Linked DNA regions of Drosophila melanogaster. The main gene of each other region encodes a partner of the protein of the gene in region 4 in a complex. Each region holds a gene or a part of one and is shown on either strand. Other genes may lie near its edges.

Region 1 (6,021 bases), on a different chromosome or scaffold from region 4:
AGATTGGTGTCCTCGAACAGACCGACCAGGTACGCCTCGCTGGCCTCCTGCAAATTGCGCATTTGAAATGGGGGAGAGACGCATTATTACATGACCGTATGAAATAGTCACGGTGCAGGGAGTGCTGTACACCATACCTGTAGGGCTCCAATGGCCGCCGACTGGAAGCGCAGATCGGTCTTGAAGTCCTGGGCTATCTCGCGCACCAGACGCTGGAACGGCAGCTTGCGGATGAGCAGCTCCGTGGACTTCTGGTAGCGACGAATCTCACGCAGGGCCACCGTTCCAGGACGGTAGCGATGTGGCTTCTTCACTCCGCCGGTGGATGGCGCCGATTTACGGGCCGCCTTGGTGGCCAGCTGCTTGCGGGGCGCCTTGCCTCCGGTCGATTTACGGGCTGTTTGCTTGGTACGTGCCATCGTTTACCTGGTAATTAAGTGGTTTTGAGCAGATTTGACAATTGACCGAACTCTATGAAATTTTCAAGCTGAATGAAAAGTAAAAGGGAGGGACGGGGTGGTTTACGCGCGTCTGCTCAGTGTGACCCTATATTCATCGGGGGTATTCCGTATAAGGTCAATATCTTGACAGCTGGTTTGAAAAATAAATAAATCGAAAATTCCTTACTTCCGATAACACAACCGATAACTAAAACTTTAAAACATAGCGGTACCTTAAGCTTTATGAATTTGTTGTTTTGACAAACGGCTCTTGACTTTTTCAAAATGTCCGATTTCGAGTACGGAATTTGCCCTTACGACAAATCGCACCGCATCTTGCTCTTCCGGATGCCCAAGCACTTAATTAAGTGCGAGAAGAACTACTGTGGACCGCCGCTGCAGACCTGCAAGTACAACGCCACACACCGAGTCCAGGACATGGAGAAGCATCTGAAGGAGTGTGACTACTATCTCCGCAGCATCGAAAACCAGGCGGTGCAGATAGCGCTTCGTAGTCGCATACCGCCCAAACAGGAAGATGGACATGATGTGGACACACCATTTTAGGCTAAGACAAGCAGGCATCCAAATATACCATGTACATATGTGATAGTATATGAACCATAAAATAAAAAGCTTCTTGAAGAAGCATGCACAATATTCGTTTGATTGCATTTATGTTCTGATTAAAATAAGAATCTTAAACTAGAGGAGCAAAAGTTTTGGTATTTACAAGCCTGTTGCTATTGCATTGCACAAAGCCTGGGGTCAAATACATTCGTCTGGCGTTTAAAACATTTGCAGGCACTTTTCCACAACTATTTACAGTCTAAGATTACGTCTAGGACAAGCTACAGCATTACACCATATCGAGGTCCGATTCTGCCGCTTCCTCGTCGATCAGCTTTCGTTTATCCGTTGATTTGGTCGTGGCATCACTTAAATTGGACAGCGGACGCACCTTGCCCAAATTAACCACCGGGCTTTGGGTGTAGAGATAGATGGCGTAGGATACAACCGCGATGGCCAGCGCGGTGTTCATGTAAATGGGTATGGAGAAGAGGAAGTAGCATAGGACTGCCGTGAAGAGCAACTCCAGAGCGCTCGCGAAGGTCTTTAGAATGGAGTTCATGTACTTGAGGAAGAAACTCGTGACAATGCCAATAGCCGCATTGTTAACAATAATGATTAGCACGCTAAAGCGCATAATACTGCCCAGATTCTGCGGACTAAAGGCATCAAGGAGCTCGCCGCGCAGCAAGAGGATGACTGCATTGCAGACAATCGAGTCCAGGTACATGAAGACATTCTGTACAAAGATATTCACATCGGCTCCCTTATCTTTAAGCAGATACTCATTGTAAACGCCCGCCAGACAAGAGCAAATTGTCTGTGCCAGAATGAAGACGGCACTCAGGCTAAAATCGAAGCCGGACATGTTCTTGCCGTGAGCGTGCGTCTCTGCAGAAGTTGTTTTATTATGTGATTGCAGCTGCTGCTGTATGGCTGCGGACTCGCTGTCATCATTCGCATCGCTGTAGAAGCTGCCGAAATCGACCTGCTTCATCATACAGCCGAGTGTCAGCAGTATGAGGGAGATCCATTGCCTTTGCGACAGGTACTTCTTGAAGATAATTTGGAATAGTATGCCCGTGACAACGACACGTAGCTGCAGTAGCAGATAGTAGGTGGTGGGATCGAATGTGGCCAAGTTGACAAAGGCCAAATTGTTGTACAGGCAGTAGAGAAAGGCGGGCACCATGTACAAGCCCAATACATTCCGATCCTTCTGAACATCGCGCACCAGGGAGCGTAGGTTGTTGCTGTGAATGAAATCGCGGTTTAATAGCGAGACAAAGGAGCGCCTCCACTCCTACTCACTCTCGGCAATACAGACAGGTGGAGACTATCAATTTAAAGACCTCGGTTAGCAGCACAACCGTGACGGTATTGTAGCCATAGGAGTTATTCGATTCCTGAGATGCTGTGACAAAGATGCCTGCAAAATAGACAGGAATTAGGGTGCGGCTTTGGCTTGCGTAAAAAGCCTTAATAAGGCAGCTGCATACCCTGTCCTATGAATAGGGACATGTACAACAGGAAGATCACAAATGTGAGCTTGGTGGGGAACAATTCACGCCAATTAGTTGACATTTCTGCGGTCTTCGTACTGCCAGCGTTGCGTTGCTAATGCGAAGAGAACTAAGACTAGCTACAAGTTGCGGCAACCGCAGTTATCAGTACCGTTCCGCTCGTTCGTGACAAGTGGGCCGTTTCTCGGTTTTCTAGGAAGTACAATTTTGAGTTTGTTTCTGTTGCTTTTCCACTGATAAACAAAATATATTTTGGGCCTTTTTTTATCGCTCGCCCGAACAGCTGATTTTAAAGCAGTGCACGCTTTTCAACACTTCAACCCACACAAAAATTGTGGTGTTGCGAAACGCCCTTTTACCACTGCAGCCGAGTTCACGTCGTGGGTCTTTTCGCTTACAATTCGTCAACATGGCAAATCGCGCAAATCGTCATGCTGCTCGCACCGAGGATTCGGATAATACCATTAACTACGTCCAATGCGACGGACTGGTGAGTAGTGCTGTTGGCCAAAAGACCTGGCCGAGATTGGCCCGTGGGAACCGGCGCGAAAGCCGGAAAAGTTAATGCCACGCGCTGTCTCAGAAATTTGCGTGCTTTGTGTGTGTTTGTATGGGTGTTCGTGAGGACATGGGCGTAGAGCTATAAGGAAAAGGGGGCCGGTCTCTTCATTACCATAGCACAAAAAACTTCAGTCAAATGTTTTCTTCAGAGAAACTATTAAAAGAAAGTCCGAAATATATCTACTTTCCACGCCCCTGTTCAAATGCAAATAGTTGTCTGTCGCTAATTGATTTTGGAACATAATTACTACGATCACTTTACCTTGCAGGCCGTCATGAAGATGGTGAAGCACTGCCATGAGGAGTCGAGCAACATGGACCTCGCCCAGGGCGCCCTGCTCGGTCTGGTGGTAGACAAGTGCCTGGAGATCACCAACTGCTTCCCGTTTCCCAAGAGCGGCGATGAGACCATGGACGAGGAGATGTACCAGCTGACCGTGATGCGTCGCCTGCGTCGCGTCAACGTAGATCATCTCCATGTGGGCTGGTACCAGAGCTCCGACGTGGGCAACAGCCTGTCAATGGCTCTGTTGGAATCGCAGTACCACTACCAGACCAGCATTGAAGAGTCCGTCGTTGTCGTCTACGATACGCAGAAGTCATCCCGCGGATTCCTGTGCTTGAAGGCCTACCGCCTTACTCCGCAGGCCATTCAGATGTACAAGGATGGCGACTTCACTCCAGAGGCATTCCGCACCCTGAAGGTCGGCTACGAGAACCTCTTCGCCGAGATTCCCATTGTGATCAAGAACTCGCCGCTGACCAACATTATGATGAGCGAGCTGAACGAGCTGCTGCCCGAGGACAAGGGGCACAACTTCCTGGACCTGGGCACCGCCACCGTATTGGAGAACCAAATGCGTAGCCTGATCGAGCGCGTCGACGAGTTGTACCAGGAGGCAGTGCGCTATAACAAGTACCAGCAGGTGGTCTTCAAGCAGGATACGGTACGTAGCAATATAATTAAATATGTAAAAATTCCTAATCGCTTTCCTTGCATTTATATTTTTTAGGAGAAGCACCGTGCTCTGGCTAAGCTGGCCGCCGAGAACGCCGTTCGCACATCGAAGGGAGAGCCCACGGTGCCAGAGGAGGAAGTGATCAAACAGTTCCGCCCCATGACTGCGCCCAACCGCCTGACGGCCACCATAACCTCTGGCCAGATCAATACCCACGCCCAGCATATCGCACAATTCTGTTCGCAATCGCTGGCCAAACTCTTCATCACGGAATCGCTGCAAATTGCCAAGGAAGCAAAGGAAACCAAATAGATTAGCTAATGTTAAGCGTTTTTTAAGCTGAGGCAACAACATTCACTACCCACAAACATAGCAACTGCACACACAGACGTCGAAAATAAACCAAACAAGCGATGAGTGGGCTTGGAAGCGAACTGCCAGCTGATTTCTTCTTTATTGTACTCTCCATTTGCTCAATAGAATGGCCAATTCAAACCGCCCCAAAAAAAGAAAACCACCACCCGCTATGCAGCCAAAAATTGGTACTGCTTCTGCGCACGCCGGATGTTTGGTTTCACTTCTCGATGAGACTTTCCGGGGGAGTGTTGCTGCCACTGACGACATCGACGCACTTTTCACACCACCCCACAAGCAGCTGCTTATCATTTGGTTTGTTCTTTTCGCTTCGCCTTTTCGCTAACCAGCTTCAGTTAGCCTAACTAACTAAATTACTAACCCGATGGCAAAATGCTGTCCTACGACCTCAACGAACGCCTGCTAACCGCCGTACAGAGCGGAGATTTCGAGCAGGCTCTGGGCTGCATCATGCAAGGTGCCCAGGCCTCGTATGTATCGCCCACTTGCGGACGCACTGCCGTGGGCACGGCGGCCATTCTGGGCGATGCCGAACTGTTGGAGCTGCTGCTTCAATCCTGCGAGGAGCCCGAGCTGAATGTCTTTCATCAGTGTGAGTTTTCCTTCCACTGGTTCGTTCTGAAAACAAACGAAACTAACTTTCGGAAAATTTAATTGCATTAAAAACAAACACATAGAGAACATTAGAAAAAAAAATGCTGTGGGTAAGCTAGATAATGTGTATGTATATTGTTCAAAGGTAAAACATAAACATAAATAATAATAATAATAATCAATGGATCCAGGAAACGAATTAGTTAGATACAAGAAAATTTTAAATGAAGTGCCAGTTCGTTTGTTCACTTTTGGAGTATATATAATACTATACAGAATTTATTATAATTTTAATACTCCCACTAAGTTGAATGATCCAATTTTAGTCGGTTAATTTTGTACGTACTCAATTTCTTGTTGTGCATTCTTTTCTCTTTTCGGGTCTATCCAACATAATGCAAGCACAGAGAAAAGTAAGTGAAGGCCGGAAAACCGGTTATCGGTTGGCCAGTTAACCGGCTGATAACAATGCTCGACAATGGGTTCCAACTGCAACCAGACACAGTAGACACGGCTAGTTCTATGTGGCAAGTAACGAAAATCTTGTCAAACCTGAAACCTGTACTTCATACTGTCTTAGCAAAAAGATTTTCAAAAACTGCTTTCTTAGAACGTTTCACGTTGGTTTTGAATTGCAGCGAACACGGATAGCCTCGAGATCGAGCGGACGCCCGAGGGTATGGAGAAACTGGAGTGGGTGGATGAGTTCGAGAATAGTGCGGAGAATGGAGCGGGCAGCGGCGAAGAGGATAGCCAATTGTATCAGTATTATGCGAAAACCTTCGAAACCACCGGAGAGTTCATATCATCCCAGTGCTGTGTCTCCTGTCGCGAACATGATCCGCATCTCTACGATGCCGATGTGGCCACTCCGCTGCACTACGCCGCCTACTGGGGTCACGAGGAGTGTGTGCGCATCCTGTTGGAACACAACGCACCTATCAATGTCCTCAATAACGATGGATACGCGCCACTCCATCTGGGTGCCGGTTTCGCCGG
Region 2 (6,257 bases), on a different chromosome or scaffold from region 4:
ATATTTGCGCAGAGCAATTGTTCGTTCGATGGCGGGAGAAATGGGAGAGAAAGAACAAATATATAATATATATATATATATACATACACGTATATATATATATATATAGGAGGCGAGCGTGTATTTGTGTGAATGTCACAGATGTGCGTGATTGTTTCCATGGAGCGGCGCAAGTGAAATGGGCAAGTTGAAAAGAGCAGTTGTGTTTGGTTTGTGAGGCTGCCAAGAGCGAAAAACGAACGCGGACAATGAATAAAATATTTGGGCTACTGTTTACCCTGTGTCTGCTGCTCGTTTGGCCCACGCCCGGAAATGGCCAGTCCCCGGATGAGTCCCGGCTCCTGGTGGCCATTCACTACGAGGCCCTGTGCCCGGACAGCATGAGCTTCATCCGGCGCAGATTGTACGATGCTCTGCAGGACAACGACTGGTGGTCGGTCACCGATCTAAAGCTATATCCATTTGGCAAGGCGGGGGTGAGTCAGCTAAGATCAAAATGATAGAATTCTTATGCATACTATAGTCATTTCTTTAGTACTCATTTCGAATTCATTAGCAGTTCATTTCGAAAACCATTTGTATTTACATTAAAAAAAAAACAGCAATAAACTGAAATACACACACACAATTTGTTTGTAGATCGTGAAATAGTTCATGTTTTTTGAGGTTTTAAACCAGAATTTGTTACGTGCAGTTCTACAACAACACATCCACTGGCGAGAGCCAAGTATTTTGTCAGCATGGCGTGGATGAGTGCGAACTAAATGCACTCCATGCCTGCATTATTGAGACCCTGGACATTCGGAAGGCCTTCAATCTGATCTACTGCATGCTGCGCTCCTATTCGAATGAGCTGGGCCCGTGCTCGAGGAGCATGGGTGTGGACGTCAGCAAGGCCAGGGAGTGTAAGGCATCCCGAACCACGGCAGAAATACTGGCGCCCTACGGCAAGGAAACCCTTAAACTGGGCATCTCCTTTGTGCCCACCATTGTGTTCGAGAATGTGAGTAACCAACCCAACCAGGCTTACATGATCAAATACCAGACTTAACTTAACATTACCCTCTGATCCGCAGGACTTTGATCCTTACGACCAGAGAAGCATTCGCAACAACTTCGAAAGACACTTCTGTCGGCAGTATCTGAAAAAGTTCAACATCAAACTGCCCACTTGTTCCGCAATTTTGTAAACTTTTATGTAATGTACTGAGTAATTTAACTGTTTCAATGTTCCAAGACCAATAAACAATAATTATAACCAACTGGAGTGTTTGCTTACTCGCTGACTCACTTGGGGCCAATAAAAATTTACATGTGTATAGTATATACATATCAGCTTATCAGTCATGTTTTTGTATACAGATTCTAATCAGAAACAGCTGTCTGGTGGTCTAAAAATAAGATTAAAACCCCGCTGCTCAGTAAGTTTTCCGTAGTCAGCGCATAAATGTAAAGGGGAAAATGCTGGTTGACAGCAGGGGCGTCGAATTGGTTGGCTAGTCACACCCTTTATCTATATATTTATATTAATTTTTTCAAAAGCGGATATATTACAGAAAAATTATAAAAAACAAGCGAAAAGTCACCCTACTATTGCAATACAAATAATTATTTTTTTTTTAACTTATATGATTTTTGAGCCCCCCTTGAGCATTTTCTAACCACGCCACTGGCCGCTTCGAATTTGACGAAACGCAGTGACAACGCTGCGCATTACAAGTCCCGGAATTATTTCAGTGTCGAGCGTTCGCTGGCGTTGAGCGGCCGAATATTTCAAGATCAGCTCGGGATTAAACTGAATTTGCCATGAGGGCGGCTGTCTTTGTGTGTCTGCTGCTGGGATGGGTGGGCGTGGCCACGCCAAGGGTAAGTGACCCAGTTGATCGGACTGAATCCCGAATTGCGACGCTCCCATTGATCGTGACTTTGCAGCGTTTGCGCGGACCGCAAGCTGACCGACTGGCGATCACCCTGTACTACGAAGCATTGTGTCCCTACTGCATGGAGTTCGTGACCACGCAGCTCAATCCCTCGATGGTCCGTCAGGATCGACTTCCATTCACTGATCTTACGCTGGTTCCTTATGGAAATGCCAGGGTAGGTTTCATTTTTCGTAGCTTAAACTAGTAGTTATAGTACAAGTACATAGTATAGCTCAATTTGAAGTTTTAGAGTGTCAATCAGCGTTAATCCGCACTTAAACTTCGCTTAATCCCCTCCAGACGAACGATGACGGAAATGTGGAGTGCCAGCACGGAGTGATGGAGTGCGAATTGAACGCGTGGCACGCCTGCATACTGGAGCACCATGACATTGCCCAATCCCTCAAGCTGATCGCCTGCATGATGAGGGGTAAGAAGAACAGGCTGGAAAAGTGCGCTGACCACTATCAAATCGACGTGGGCGATGTCAAAAATTGCAAGAAAACGCGACAGGTGAACGACATTCTGAGGAAGTACGGCAAGGAAACGGCCAAGGTCTCATTTCAGGGAGTGCCAGCCGTAGCTCTGGATAACGTGAGTTTAAATGCGAAAGAAATTCATGAAATCTAAAATAAAACTTTGTGATTTTAAGGTTTATAACGCGGATCTATCAGCAAACTTAACTGATCATTTTGATGCCATTTTTTGCGCCAAGTATAAGGAAAAGTTCAATAAGCAGCTAAATAATTGTCAATAAATATTGTGTTCATTTAACAATACATTTTTTTATTAAAAAATATTTTTTGCATTTTCTTTGTAATTAAATCGTAAAATCAGGTTCTGAAAAATGAATAGTTCGAATTTTTAGTTTTCCCGCCCAGCAGTGGCGCCATCTATGACAGCATGCTGCCAGACCTTTGAACATTCGCTACGATTTTAGTATTTTTCTTTGGCGGTGGTATATTTCAACGCGACAACGGTCCCACTCAACTATTTTCGCAACACGCGACGATACGAATTTTCCACATTTCTTTGTTGATTTCTGGAAAATCGCTGTATATAGACCGAATAGCCGACTGCAGACTGAGCACCAGGTAAACGCGCGAGATGAGCGAGACCATAAACACCGCGGCTCAGTTCCCGAGCTTCGAGAAGCCGACCGTGCAGTTCAATGAAAAGGGCTGGGGTCCCTGCGAGCTGCCCGATACGTTCAAGGATGTGCCGTACCAGCCGTTCAGCAAGAACGATCGTCTGGGCAAGATCTGCGACTGGACGAATACGTCGAACAACGACAAGAAGTACCAGAGTGAGTTTATTCCCCACCCGAAACCGACCCACAAAATACTAATCGCCGAAAGTGAGGTTAGGTAGGTGTGTCGTGGCATGATATTGTTGCTAACATATTGGTGGTTGGTATTCCATTCGCAGACAAGTATGCCTCCAGCTTTGGCACGGGCATTCAGTACTCGTACTACCATGAGGAGGACGAGACAACCTTCCACCTGGTGGACACGGCCCGCGTCCAGAAGCCGCCGCACCAGCGCGGCCGGTTCCGCAACATGAGGAATTCGCGTTCCGGTCGTGGCAGGAATGCCCGCGGTGGCCTTAATACTCACGGCATGACGACGCTCAGCGGCAAGAATGTAAAGGCCCGCGATCCGCGCCATGGTCGCGGCATGGGCAAGAAGTTCGGTCATCGCGGACCACCACCAAAGATGCGCGAATCTTCGGTGGCCGTCCGCGCCGATTGGGCATCCATCGAGGAGATGGACTTCCCGCGACTCATCAAGCTGTCGCTGCCCAACATCAAGGAGGGCGTCGATATTGTCACCTGCGGCACGTTGGAGTACTACGACAAGACCTACGACCGCATCAATGTGAAGAACGAGAAGCCGCTGCAGAAGATCGATCGCATCGTGCATACGGTGACCACCACAGACGATCCCGTCATCCGGCGTTTGTCTAAGACCGTCGGCAATGTCTTCGCCACGGACGCCATCCTGGCCACCATCATGTGCTCTACGCGATCGAACTATTCCTGGGATATTGTCATCGAGAAAGTTGGTATGTTAAATGAAATACGAAATATAATAATAATAAGAGAAATAAATAATAATTGTAACCTTATTTTAGGCGACAAGGTGTTCATGGACAAGCGTGACCACACCGAGTTCGATCTGTTGACCGTGAACGAGAGCAGCGTGGAACCACCGACCGACGACGACAGCTCATGCAACTCCCCTCGCAACCTGGCCATCGAGGCGACTTTCATTAACCACAACTTTAGCCAGCAGGTGCTTAAGACTGGAGACCAGGAACCCAAATACAAGTTCGAGGAAAGCAACCCTTTCATCAGCGAGGACGAAGATATCCAAGTCGCCAGCGTGGGCTACCGCTACAAGAAGTGGGAGCTGGGAAGCGATATTGTAAGTGTTGCATAATCCAACTTTAAAGTTGGAATATTTTTCTATATTATGTTAAACTATTGTCTTATACTTTTAGGTCCTGGTAGCGCGTTGCGAGCACGATGGTGTCCTGCAGACGCCAAGCGGCGAGCCGCAGTTCATGACTATCAAGGCACTCAACGAGTGGGACTCGAAGTTGGCCAATGGCGTGGAATGGCGTCAAAAGTTGGACACGCAGCGCGGTGCTGTGCTCGCCAACGAGCTGAGGAACAACGCATGCAAGCTGGCCAAGTGGACTGTGCAGGCCGTCCTGGCCGGGTCCGATCAGCTAAAGCTCGGCTATGTGTCGCGTATCAATCCGAGAGATCACTCGCGTCACGTCATCCTCGGCACGCAGCAGTTCAAGCCGCATGAATTTGCCACTCAGATCAACCTGAGCATGGACAACGCCTGGGGAATCCTGAGATGCATCATCGATCTGGTGATGAAGCAGAAGGATGGCAAATACCTGATCATGAAGGACCCCAACAAGCCGATCATCCGTCTGTACGACATCCCAGACAATACTTTCGACTCCGATGACTCGGACGATGGCGAGGGCGATGACGAAGGTTTCCAGCAGGTCTACAACTACGCGCACAACAAGATTTAGACGCCACGCCCCCCTACTCCTGCATCCCTTCCAGTCTTGGGCTCTTTTGCCACAACCCGCTAAGAATAACCACAACTGATGTCCTCTAAAGGAAAAGGTCATGTTATAGGCCCTAGCTTAAGCATTTGTATTCGATTTAAATTCAGATATTTCCTAGTAAATCACAGAGGGCGAAACAATACATGAATTTTTATTGGTCCAGGTCTAATGCCGGGTACTTGTGATAAAAACTTTCGACTGAAACACCGAGGTCTTGTACGTAAATGACTGACTCATTTCCCGGACTCATATATAGTAAGCTGATTGTGCGTGTCGGGCATCTAGTTAAGATTTAGACATTGTTTAAACTCTGACGGTTAAAGATGGTCTTCCTACAAAGAGTGTACATATCCTTCCTGGTCCTGCATACTCAATTGCTGATGTACCTGGCTGAGTCTGGTAATATATGTTGCAAGTACTCCACATTGTATACGTTATAACATTCAAGAAAATGATTCATTTGGATATGGGTATTTCCTTGAATTTTAAAATATAAATAGCTTTGTTTCGTCCAATCATTATCTAAACATCCAATTAAAATGACTCACATAATATAATATTTATTAATATCCAATTCTTTACTGTATCAGAATATCCGCCTTGTAATCTGGATGAGAAATGCATTAGTCTAGCCCGCTGCACATCACTCTTGCCCTTTCTGAAGCCCCACAACATGACGCCAGCCGAGAAGGCGGTATTCGAGGACAGATATTGCGGCTATGGCCCCAAGGGGCAGGAATTATTGGACAGAGTTCTCATCTGCTGCCCAAATATGGGACACATTTTGCCAAATACCCAGATATGTGGACCAATCATGCCGGCTTATCGAATTTTCGGAGGAGAGGAGACGCAACCCAACGAGTTGCCTTGGATGGCCCTGATTCTATATGCGCATCGCAGCCGTTCGGTGTGGAATGAAAGACTCGTGTCCAGGTGCGCTGGATCCCTGATCACAAACCGCTATGTGCTGACCGCAGCCCATTGTCTGAGGATAACGGGATTGGATCTCAGGAGGGTGCGCCTTGGCGAGCATAACATTTTAAGCAATCCCGACTGCGTCACCCATATTAATGGTAGGGAACACTGCGCTCCAGAGCATCTGGAAATTGACGTCGATCTGAGTATCAAGCATAGGCACTACATGGTCTTCGAGGAAAGGCCCTACAACGACATCGCCCTGCTGCGATTGAAGTTTCCAGTACGGTTAGTTGCACTTGACCTGTCATATCTTTTACTACA
Region 3 (5,007 bases), on a different chromosome or scaffold from region 4:
GAATTTAGTATACCCTTTTACTCTACGAATAACGAGTATAATAATGAAATTTTGCGTTCGCATTTCTACCATCTGTGTAGCGGGTATCTGATAGTCGGGGAAGTCGACTGTAGCAGTCTACCTTTTTTTTTAATATTGTTAAATAGATATTGATAGATACTTATATATAACTTTATCTTCACTACGGCCGGACAAAGTTCATTGGTTTAACAGCACGTACCTTCCCATAATCCATTTATGTTTTCAAATAATTAATTTTAGAAAAATAATTAACTTTTCAGAACTGGTTACTTCAATCGAGTTATTTAATCCACACGCAATGATATGTCGAACGTGACATGTTGGACGTGACAATATTATTTCCATGTATAATGATTCGAGGAAAAGATTCAGACGCTGCAAAAAGTTAATATTCCTGTTTTAAAACCAACAATTTTTGAATTTCTTAATATTTACATGGCAACTAAAGTAATATATAATTTTTAAGAATCGCAGTAAAAGAAAATAATAAAATGTACTTTTAGTATTGTGTGTTTCTTTTATAGTAGATTTATAATCGAAGAGATCGATGGGAAATTTAAAAAAATTACAAAAAATTATATAAATTATTTTAAGTTTTTAGATATCAATCTTACGTCCCATTACTTTATTATTATATCACATTTTGCAACAATTGTTTGACACAAGAGTATGTAACAATGTTAATTCGTTAGATTAAATGTTCATTCAAACTCTTTAATAATAAGGCTTAACTCGGACTCCAAAGCTGTTAATGGTACTAATTTTTATATTTTCCAAAAAGAATATAAAACTATCGCCTTACTAGGTGTACTTTTTCTTAGCGTTACACTTGTCGCTTTCGGAAATAATTTGGAGGCATCTTGATGGAGGTTCAAGTTCACACTTAATTTGTGATTTGTGCTCACGGTCTGCATTCATTAAATCTCTGCTTATGTTTAACATGGTTGCCATTTAAGGAATTTACATTTTTAGTACTTAATAAATAAATTAACATTCTTATCCAGCCCATTTTGCATTTACATTAACCACATATGATTAATTAAAGCTTATGAAATCCGTATAAAAATTTAAATCAACGATTTTTAAGAATAAACTTAAATTTACGTTTTAGAGTAACATAATTTTAGTGGTGTTGTTAGAATCTGCATGCTTAATGCACTCCCTAGATAAGTTCCCGAGATCTCTACATTCATTTAGATAGGCAGACAGATGCACGGTAGGAGGATTTACTTTACAAGACGGGATACGCTTCCTCCTACCTGACACATCCTTTTCTAGCAATCTATCTAGTTTACCCTTATGCTTTACGACCGACAGGTATAAGATGGAAATTGCCGAGGATTGAATAAAATATTCCGTTATCGAGCTAAAACCGTTTTAAGAAGCGGGAGTTTTACAATCGATTCTTCTTGCTTCAAACAAGACCTGCGTGTAAGATCTACGCCGTAGATGGCCGATTTTTATAATGCAATATGTTGGGCTTATAGCAATATGCATATTTGGTTATTCATCGATGAATTTACTTTGCAGGGAATAGTTTTTAAATTAAAAGTCTTGTACATTTTCTAATAAAATATACACTCGACATAAAAGAAGAATTATCACGAATTTGGGTAACAATATTCATTGACGGCTATATAAATATATTTTTTTAAAATATTAAAAATATATAAATTAGTTCCCATGCAAAATGGCCTCATTGGTTTTGCTATGTAAACGTTTTACCAGTCTGATTTGTTTACCACCTTAACTGAGTTTTTAATATAGGGCGCCAATTGAAATTTGTATGAGTATGAAATTAAAGTCATTATGCCGTATGCGAAATATGGGAGGAGCAAGGAACACTGCCATTGATACTTGGTGAGATTCCCATTTCACAAGGTATTGATACACGAAATACCCATGGCTATCCGTAACAAACTCATGCACGTAAATTAAGAGTCGTTTTAACAGACATTTACTAAATTTTAAACTATATACATATATGGTAAAAAGGCAGAATGTTTTTAATTTTTGTTATTATGTTCTTATAGCATACACAACTGTAAAATAATGTATGATGCTTAATTTAAAATTATTTTAAGCTTGTTTTTTCTGTTTACCATTTCAAAATGTTTCTAAATAGGCAAGTTTCTAAATAGCAAGGCAACGAAATAGGTGAGCACATTTTGGCACGTGCCCTTTTAAGTTATATTTACATTTTACAACACTGGATCGAGGGGAGGCACAAGCGCAGCCAAGTTTGCTTTGCTAAGTTTCTTTTCCAACTTAATTTTTTTTGTAACTCATGATGTCTAGGAATTTTAGCATGCGAGCTAAGGTGTATCTAAAGCCGTTGGTGTTTTTCCAAATTATTGACGCATACGATCGCCGACCAAAAGGTGACAATCAGGTAGGTGTGCGCGCATTCATCTCCTGTCCACTAATCTTGTAATGATCAAACCAAAGGTTATGGGCACTTTGCTGGGTCGCAACAAGGAGGGCCACATCGAGATCACAAACTGTTTTACTGTGCCGCACAAGGAGCATTCGGAGAACAAACGCATTGATCTGGATATGGCATATGCCTCCGAGGTCCTAGAGCTAAATATGTTCGCCTATCCGAACGAGCGTGTGCTGGGCTGGTTCTGCACTGGGAAATCGGTGTCCCGCTCCGCGTCCCTGATCCACGACTATTATGTCAGAGAATGCTGCGAAGGACAGCCACTGCACCTGCTAGTGGATGCAGCCCTGAAGAACCAGCGACTCTCGACCCGACTGTACTGTGCTGTGGAGATGGGAGTGCCTGGTGGCACCAAAGGACTGATGTTCTCATTAGTTCCACTGGAGATTAGCAACGAAAATTCCGATTTGGTGGCTCTGCGTTGCATAGAAAAGCAATCGCAGCAACAGGCAAGCAAGCAAATGGAGCGCTTCGTCCCAGAGTTGGCTCAAGTGGTGGATGCCACTAGGGATATGCAACATCGCCTTGACTTGGTGCTGCGCTACATCAACGATGTCTTGGCCAGGAAGAAAAAACCTGACAACGTAGTCGGGAGATCCCTTTACGCCGCTCTCACTGCCGTGCCGCTTTTGGACTCGGACAAATTTCGCGTCATGTTTAATACTAACTTGAGGGATATGCTCATGGCCATCACTCTTTCCACAATGATAAAAACACAGCTGGAGATCAGCGAGAAACTGTCTTGCATGCAGGATCAGTGAACAATGACAAAAAACTGACTGAATTGACTGAATCAATCACTTAATTGTTATTTTGGGTGCCTTTTGCTATTTACACCACCTAATAAATTGAACTTTCATTAAAAGGAGGATGTAGGTCACACTAAAGCAAGCCTTCGGTAGAAATTATTAAATTAGTATCGGCTCCTGAACTTTGGAGTCTAGAAACATCGCATCCAGCGATTAAGATCATTATAAGCTCGTGCCGAAAACAAATGATTTTCGTTAAGGCTTCCCCCGTTCTACACAGTTGCGTTGCCCGAAAACCTTATAGGCAACGCTTGATCGGCATTCTTTTCCAGCATCCCGATCTTAGTCCCTTTGGTAAGTGATTTTCAGAGAAAGCGAGTCATTTCGCCAACTCCTTTGGCCGTTTAAGCACCAAAAAGTTTGCGGTAAATACAACAACAGTGCTGGGAAACCCGCGGCGGAATGATGATCTCTACGGACGGTGATAAGGTCCAGTACAGATCTATTTCGGTCTGTTCAAATCTCGACGAAGAGGGCACGGCGGAGGATGGTAGTGGAAAGGTGGTGGGGGTGTCGGGGATGTGGACCACCCAAATAATGCCGAGATAATAACGCCTTATCGCGGTTCAGGGACAGTCGGCGGATGTCCACCGGGGCAATCAATTAGCTGGAACGAACTGAAAATTAGCAAACGTTGACGTTGACCGTCGATAGTAGCCCTACGACACCCCTCTCCTCAGACGAATCTCCCGTTGTCTCTCTGCGCCCCCACCCCTCAGACGAACCGACGCCTCCGCCGCCTCTGACTTATCGCTCAAGCCAAGGGCTATCGGTGTGCCCCGGTCGCCTTTCCTGATAGACATCGCTGCTCTGAGGAGTGGATTAGATGCGGATCCACACCCTCAGACGTCCAGCGACCGGCGATCCGAGCAGACGCACGAAGTATTAAGCCTGTGGTAAAACCGTAATGAGATCCGATTTCAAAATGAAAACCCAAGTAGACTGAGCTAAGACTACAACGCAAGGAAAACAACTATGCCAATCGTCCGTATAGATCGGGGCTTCCTTGATTGAACTCACAGTGTAAACCGCGATCGTCCGTCCGGATTTCGGCAACTAAGTATTATGCTCTCGCTGCTGCCGCACCACCCGCTCGTCTGCCGCTGCTGCCTGCTGGAGCAGCCGCCGCTCTACCACAGTCTCTATGACGCCTCTAGCCAGCTGGCGGTGGAGCTGAAGGCCCTGGCTCCCGCCCTGCGCCTTGAGCACGGCGACAACCTCACCGATGTGATATGCGACCTGTGCCTTCGTCGCCTGCACGACGCCCGCGACTTCCAGCGGCGGTGCGAGCACTCCGAACAGGTGCTACGCATGCGGCACGAGCACTGGAAGCACACGGTGGCCGTGGGAGACGCCTTGGCCCTGGACGATGTGCTTGAGTGCCTGGAGCGAGAAGTGGGCAGCCTGGAGGGACCGATGTCTGTGCCTCTGCAAGCAAGTAAGCCGGTGGCCCATGTGGCGCCCTTAATGGAGACCGTTGATTTTGGTAAGTTATCACGCACGGGGCGAACACATTGGTTTAAAAGCCAAGGCCGGTCAAAGAACCAAGGATTAGGTCATAAAAGAAAATTTATTATAAAATATGACACATGCTGATAGCACGCTGATAACCAGCTCGAATTTAATTAAGTATGTTTTTCTATATGGACCAAGCTATAATAACAATTGTTATAAACAATCAGCTAGACACAAATTTTGCATTCATGAACAAATTGATATTTTAACTACCTGCTA
Region 4 (5,113 bases):
CAGGCATTCCATGTCCTCGATCGCGTGGACGTGCAGCTCGTTGCCCTCGAAGGTGGCGACCGCATTTGGCTGGCAGCTATGGTCCGTAATCGAGACGCCCAGATATATGGCCGTGGCAATTGAGTTCATCTCGGCGTCCAAGATATTGAAGCCATTGGTGATCAGCTGCAAAGAGCAGAGAAGAAAGAGCATGAGCTCCCGCGTAACTGTGCGCCGGGGAATGTGAACCGAAGCCCTTCCTAGATAATCAATTGACTGGCAGAGCGCCAGGCATACATCATTGATTGCTATCTAATTTGGGCGACCAGGAGCGGCTGCATACGCAAGCGTCTTGGTTTCTCGATTCAGTACCAGTGCGATGAATCGCCCAATCCGCTCCTGCTCGCTCGCACAGGTGCCTGCACACTTACGCGACCATAGATGCTCATCAGTTCCGTCTTGTTTGGCACCGTGCTGGGACTCTCGGCCATCATATCGGTGAGGACGGCATGCAGCGAGTCCAAGTGCTCCAGTCGCATGGGATCGTTCTTGATTTCGGCGTAATCTGTGCACGTTAACGTGGATTAGCTAGGAATGACCATGCAAAGCGGTTCGCCCTTTGGTTTACTCACGGGACATGAGATCGCGAAACTTGCGGGAGCCGTGCTCGGTGTAATAGCCGCGGATCAGGTCTCCGCCGTGCTCCAGGCGCAGGATCAGTCGGCAGAGCATTCGGGCAGCATCGGGCACAACTCGAGGATGCACCTTCTTGAGGAAAGGACACTCGTGCTTGTGCTGGCCCCAAGCTTGCATCTGGCATGAGCGGTGGCAGTAGGACACATACCTGCAGTTGGAGCACTTCAGCACCTTGGTCCTGCAACGACGAACCCAAATTAGATAGCTCACAAAGGCAGCCACATGGCGAAACTTACGCCTCCAGGCAGTTATCGCACCGCTCCAGGCGGTACTGTGATTTCAAGACGAAGGCGAATGGTTTCTCCGTGAGGATCCGCTGTCCCCTTTTTATTTGCGGCGCCGGATTCTTTAGGTTCTTGGATTTGGATGAGCATGCGGATGCGGTTGCGGATGTGGTTGCGGATCTGGATGAACCAACGGTGGCGGTGGCCATTTCGCTCGAACGGAGCAACAACAAAGACTTTCGCCTGGGGGCCCGTCTCACTGACGACTGAAAATGAGCGCACACCTGAAGATCAAAAATATTGTTTCGAATGCTTTTTGAATATTTTGCGGCATCTGATTTCTATTTTTGGCCACAAAAACAAACACAATTTACGCAAATCGCTGGCAAACACAAAAACAACAACACCATGGTGTTTATTCGCATGCAAACGATGGCGTTGCCAGATCGGCTGGAATCATGCTTTCTACAGTGGGCACCGCGTAAGGTTAACTTGTTAACCATATGTGGGTAGCTGCATGTCGTTAAAAAATACACTTAACAAATCATATTCAAGTTTTTTAAGTAACAAATAAAAAATATTTCTTTTATATGTTGTTCCCAGTGTCTACGATTTGGTGGCCTTGCGTCCTTTAAAACGAGGGAGAAAGCTATATTAGAGCAAAAGTCGAAAGCATTTGTGTTGGTTGGTCCGCAAAACTAAAGAAGAGCGATTAAGTTATATCAAATATGAAAAATATACGATTCTAGATGCCATTGTATCCTTGCAGAGCATAGTCATCTGGTTTTCGGTGCCCATGGGGGCTGTTTTAAGATTTATTTGTAGCAAACTTAGCATAGCATAGGGACAAATTGTGTGATCGACTCGAACGGACTCCTATGAGCAGTAAACGCGGGTAGTGGGAACGGGACTAACTAATTGTTCTGGGGTTTCGACCATTCGACGCTGAGGATCAAGTGGTCGTAGCCGTGTCCATTGAGGATCTCGATGGCGGCGGCCGCATCCTTGCGCTGCTTGAAGTGCACGTAGGCGAATCCCTTGCAGAGTCCGGTGTTCTTGTCGCGGGCGAGATACATCTTGCTCTGCGGTCCAATCTTCTTCACCAGCTCCTCGAGATCCGCCTCGGTCATCGACTCCGACAGATTCGATATCCTAATGGCGGCCGTGTCGTCGCGTCCGCGCATTCCCAGCGCGCCCTTTTGGCTGTCCTTGAGGAACGGCGGCACATACTTGCCGGACTTGGGCGCATCGACGGCGGCCGCGGCGGCTGCCGAAGCCTTCTTCTCCATCATATTCGTGTCCATCGCCGTGCCCTTGTACGGGCAGTTGACCGACCAATGCTCACCGTTGCAGATACGGCACTTGGCAATATTCTTGGTGGGATCTAGCAGCGGATCGTTGGCCTTCTCGTCCTCCTTGGAGTTGAGGAACTGCATGATGATCTCCTCGGACACCATGGTCGTCTGCGAGTTGGGGCCGGGCTTGTCGTTCTTCGAGTCGCCGAACTTCGTCCAGGTGCGTCGCTTGGCCACCGTCTTGGGCACCACCTGCTTGGATATCTTGTACGTGCGCACCACCTTCGTCTTCTTGTCGTCCTTGTTGTACTTGTACTCCGTCACGTACTTCTGTCCGTTCTCCACCGTCTCCGTCGTCGGAGGTAGTCCACCATAGTCGAGCTCCACCTCGTCCGCCCAGGAGGATTTGATCGTTTCAACGCCCGGCATCTGAAAGGAATTGAGGGCGCAGTGAGTGGGGCTACACTGGGCGCTTGCTTGGGGTGCACTCACTCTGATTTTCAACGCGATTTGTATGCGAAATCGTAAATGCAAATTTCGCCACGAGTTAAGCGGATTTTTAATCAGCAACAAAAGAGTGTTACCCTGCCGCGGTCACAAAAATATGCCGTGTGTGTCCAAAAAATATACCGCTAATACCACTTTGCACTTTTTGGAATATACCATTTGAAATTTCGTTACATATAAGTTAATAAGTTATCGATTTGATTTTGAAGATCGCAAGCGACCGTTTATTGCAATTTATCATTTGAAACTAAATCTAGCGTACAAAATGTTTCCCTAAGTCCCTAGCAATCAAGTGAAGTCGTCGGCAGCGGCGCAGCAGGCGTCGGCCGCGGCGCAGCGCAGAAGTGTCGATGTCGCGCTTAACCGTTCGTTGGCGTTGATGGCAGCGGAGACTATGTGGAACCACAAGATGTTAGAGAATCAATTGCAGGGCAATAACTCCTCCCCTCTTAATTGACGCTTGTCCTCGAGCGGTCATCATAAGGATGGGATGTTTTTGAGTCGCATCGTTGGTGGGGTGATTCGTGGTAGTTTGGGCACAGCATTAATGGTTTGAATGCCAGGTGTTTATTGTTGCGTGCGTTCGAGGTTTGTGCAACTCGGATGTGTTCTGCATTGACAACTTGATTGCTTCTATTAAAATTCTGGTTTTTACTAAATTACTAATGAATTTATATCTACATATTTTTAGACCATTGGAACCTTTGCAGAAGGCATTGATTCCGTACATTTCGTCTTTAATTGGTAAATTTTATTATTATTCAAATTAAATTATTATTTATTTATTATTATTAGTTTCCTTTACTGATCATGTTTTAAAATATAAGAAATAAGGAATTAACTGATTCAATATGGAGATTTCAATGGCATTCAAATTGTAGTTCCGTTGTGTAAAGCGAGAACGTGTGAAAGTTTTAACATTTATTTGACCGTCAAGGCAGAAATCGGTATATTGTTTTCAAGTAGGCTACTGGTCTCATTCAATTTAAACTCGCTCCGCAGAAACGCATTCACAACGCAATCTCTTCTTTCACGAGCCCAATCTAATTCTGCAAACCTATGGCCAACTCGTCTGTCAAAGTCGAATCGTTTCAAATTTAATTCTCGTGGTTACGTTAATCAGTATGTTTAATGTTTCTATGTTCTACTTGTCTATCGATGTGGCCACAGTAATTATTCTGAAGCAATCATGATCTTATGTTACTTTTATGTACTAATTTCCCTGATTCTGTTAATATTGTGGTACTTCGGTCTTCCTTAACTAGTTCCTTCCTAAATCTACTTGATAACTTAGAACCTAATCTTGTATTAACCCTAACGAAAATTTCTTGCCCTTTGATATAGGTTTTTATGGGCTTTCTTGTCCGGTTGTGGTATTCTATGTCGGTTTCCTGTTTTTGCCTAAGTCGGTCTATATTGTCCAGTCTAGCTTGTTCATATTTTTCTGGAGCTACGGTAGCTATCCTGCCGAAGAACACCTCTAGAGGTCGTTTTTTTGTGACAGAATGGACAGTGTAGTTATATTCATAGATGGCCCTATCGAGAAGTTCCTCGAAGCCCCTATGTGTTCCATCTCCTTTCAAACATCTCATTATTTCAGAGAGTGTGGAGTGAAATCTTTCTATCTGTCCATTTACTGTACTCTTATACGGAGGTGCTTTGTAGAGCTCAATACCCAGCTGGTCTGTCAACATGAATTTGATAGAGGCTGAGTTGAGGGACTTTTCATTGTCCATTACTATTAATTTAGGCACTCCATAATAAAACACGATATCTCTTAGGGCTTTCCTAATGTCTTCTACAGCTTTGGATTTGATAACTCTTCCCATGGCCAGTTTGGAAAATTTATCAATCGCCGTGAGCACCAGATGTCGTTCTGTCGAGTAGATGTCAATATGAATAATTTGTCCGGGGTATTCTGGCAAGGGAGTTTGTCTTATTTCTGGATGCGTGGGATGTCTGTCATATTTAGCAGTCTTACACACCAAACACTGATTCACGATAGCCGAAACTTTTTTCCTCATTTTAGGAAAGTATACTCTTTCGGACAACTGAGCTTTATTTTCCACAGCATTTCTGTGTGCTCTGTTATGTGTCCTAAGTATTTCTTCCTCTTGTTCGGCTTCGTTAACAAGGTCTTTGACTTTGCTTTGGCAGAATCTAATCTTGAAACCCTGAAAATGGATGGGGTAGAGAATTTGAATTTTCCCCATTACATCCTCGGATGTGAAAATTCCATTAATCACGGATGGGTTAAGATATTCTTTCAAATCTGACAAGAGACTATCGGGTGTGAACAAGTTGCGATCTACTAAATGCCTTTGAAATGTCGGGAATGGAATGCTAAATGAGTAGTTCTCTGACTCGGACTCCCTGAAGAAAATTTGATTCTTGAATGCGTTTATCGGGGCT

Evidence for each region.
Region 1: eIF3g1 (region 4) and eIF3h share a complex: the UniProt entries of both Drosophila melanogaster proteins name them as parts of the eukaryotic translation initiation factor 3 (eIF-3) complex.
Region 2: eIF3g1 (region 4) and eIF3d1 share a complex: the UniProt entries of both Drosophila melanogaster proteins name them as parts of the eukaryotic translation initiation factor 3 (eIF-3) complex.
Region 3: eIF3g1 (region 4) and eIF3f2 share a complex: the UniProt entries of both Drosophila melanogaster proteins name them as parts of the eukaryotic translation initiation factor 3 (eIF-3) complex.

The regions. Positions count from the first base shown.
Region 1 is NT_033779.5:5,049,657-5,055,677, reverse strand, and holds eIF3h (eukaryotic translation initiation factor 3 subunit h), read left to right. Parts: upstream 1-2,594; 5' UTR 2,595-2,942; coding exon 2,943-3,023; intron 3,024-3,363; coding exon 3,364-4,041; intron 4,042-4,107; coding exon 4,108-4,365; 3' UTR 4,366-4,485; downstream 4,486-6,021. Other genes in the region: His3.3A (histone H3.3A), read right to left, coding at 1-47, 138-419; CG14036 (uncharacterized protein), read left to right, coding at 726-1,007; senju, read right to left, coding at 1,300-2,263, 2,322-2,439, 2,510-2,594; CG9121 (uncharacterized protein), read left to right, coding at 4,801-5,020, 5,661-6,021. UniProt on the Drosophila melanogaster protein: Component of the eukaryotic translation initiation factor 3 (eIF-3) complex, which is involved in protein synthesis of a specialized repertoire of mRNAs and, together with other initiation factors, stimulates binding of mRNA and methionyl-tRNAi to the 40S ribosome.
Region 2 is NT_033777.3:23,677,162-23,683,418, forward strand, and holds eIF3d1 (eukaryotic translation initiation factor 3 subunit d1), read left to right. Parts: upstream 1-2,877; 5' UTR 2,878-3,029; coding exon 3,030-3,228; intron 3,229-3,350; coding exon 3,351-3,986; intron 3,987-4,055; coding exon 4,056-4,348; intron 4,349-4,424; coding exon 4,425-4,979; 3' UTR 4,980-5,156; downstream 5,157-6,257. Other genes in the region: GILT3 (Gamma-interferon-inducible lysosomal thiol reductase 3), read left to right, coding at 249-476, 695-1,003, 1,077-1,190; GILT2 (Gamma-interferon-inducible lysosomal thiol reductase 2), read left to right, coding at 1,807-1,866, 1,933-2,097, 2,223-2,516, 2,575-2,679; CG16710 (uncharacterized protein), read left to right, coding at 5,342-5,417, 5,609-6,221. UniProt on the Drosophila melanogaster protein: mRNA cap-binding component of the eukaryotic translation initiation factor 3 (eIF-3) complex, which is involved in protein synthesis of a specialized repertoire of mRNAs and, together with other initiation factors, stimulates binding of mRNA and methionyl-tRNAi to the 40S ribosome.
Region 3 is NT_033778.4:6,198,609-6,203,615, forward strand, and holds eIF3f2 (eukaryotic translation initiation factor 3 subunit f2), read left to right. Parts: upstream 1-2,244; 5' UTR 2,245-2,308; coding exon 2,309-2,413; intron 2,414-2,469; coding exon 2,470-3,225; 3' UTR 3,226-3,348; downstream 3,349-5,007. Other genes in the region: CG30431 (uncharacterized protein), read left to right, coding at 4,339-4,759. UniProt on the Drosophila melanogaster protein: Component of the eukaryotic translation initiation factor 3 (eIF-3) complex, which is involved in protein synthesis of a specialized repertoire of mRNAs and, together with other initiation factors, stimulates binding of mRNA and methionyl-tRNAi to the 40S ribosome.
Region 4 is NC_004354.4:2,607,560-2,612,672, forward strand, and holds eIF3g1 (eukaryotic translation initiation factor 3 subunit g1), read right to left. Parts: upstream 2,778-5,113; 5' UTR 2,687-2,777; intron 2,624-2,686; coding exon 1,814-2,623; 3' UTR 1,688-1,813; downstream 1-1,687. Other genes in the region: Smyd3 (SET and MYND domain containing, class 3), read right to left, coding at 1-165, 411-544, 612-853, 912-1,108. UniProt on the Drosophila melanogaster protein: RNA-binding component of the eukaryotic translation initiation factor 3 (eIF-3) complex, which is involved in protein synthesis of a specialized repertoire of mRNAs and, together with other initiation factors, stimulates binding of mRNA and methionyl-tRNAi to the 40S ribosome.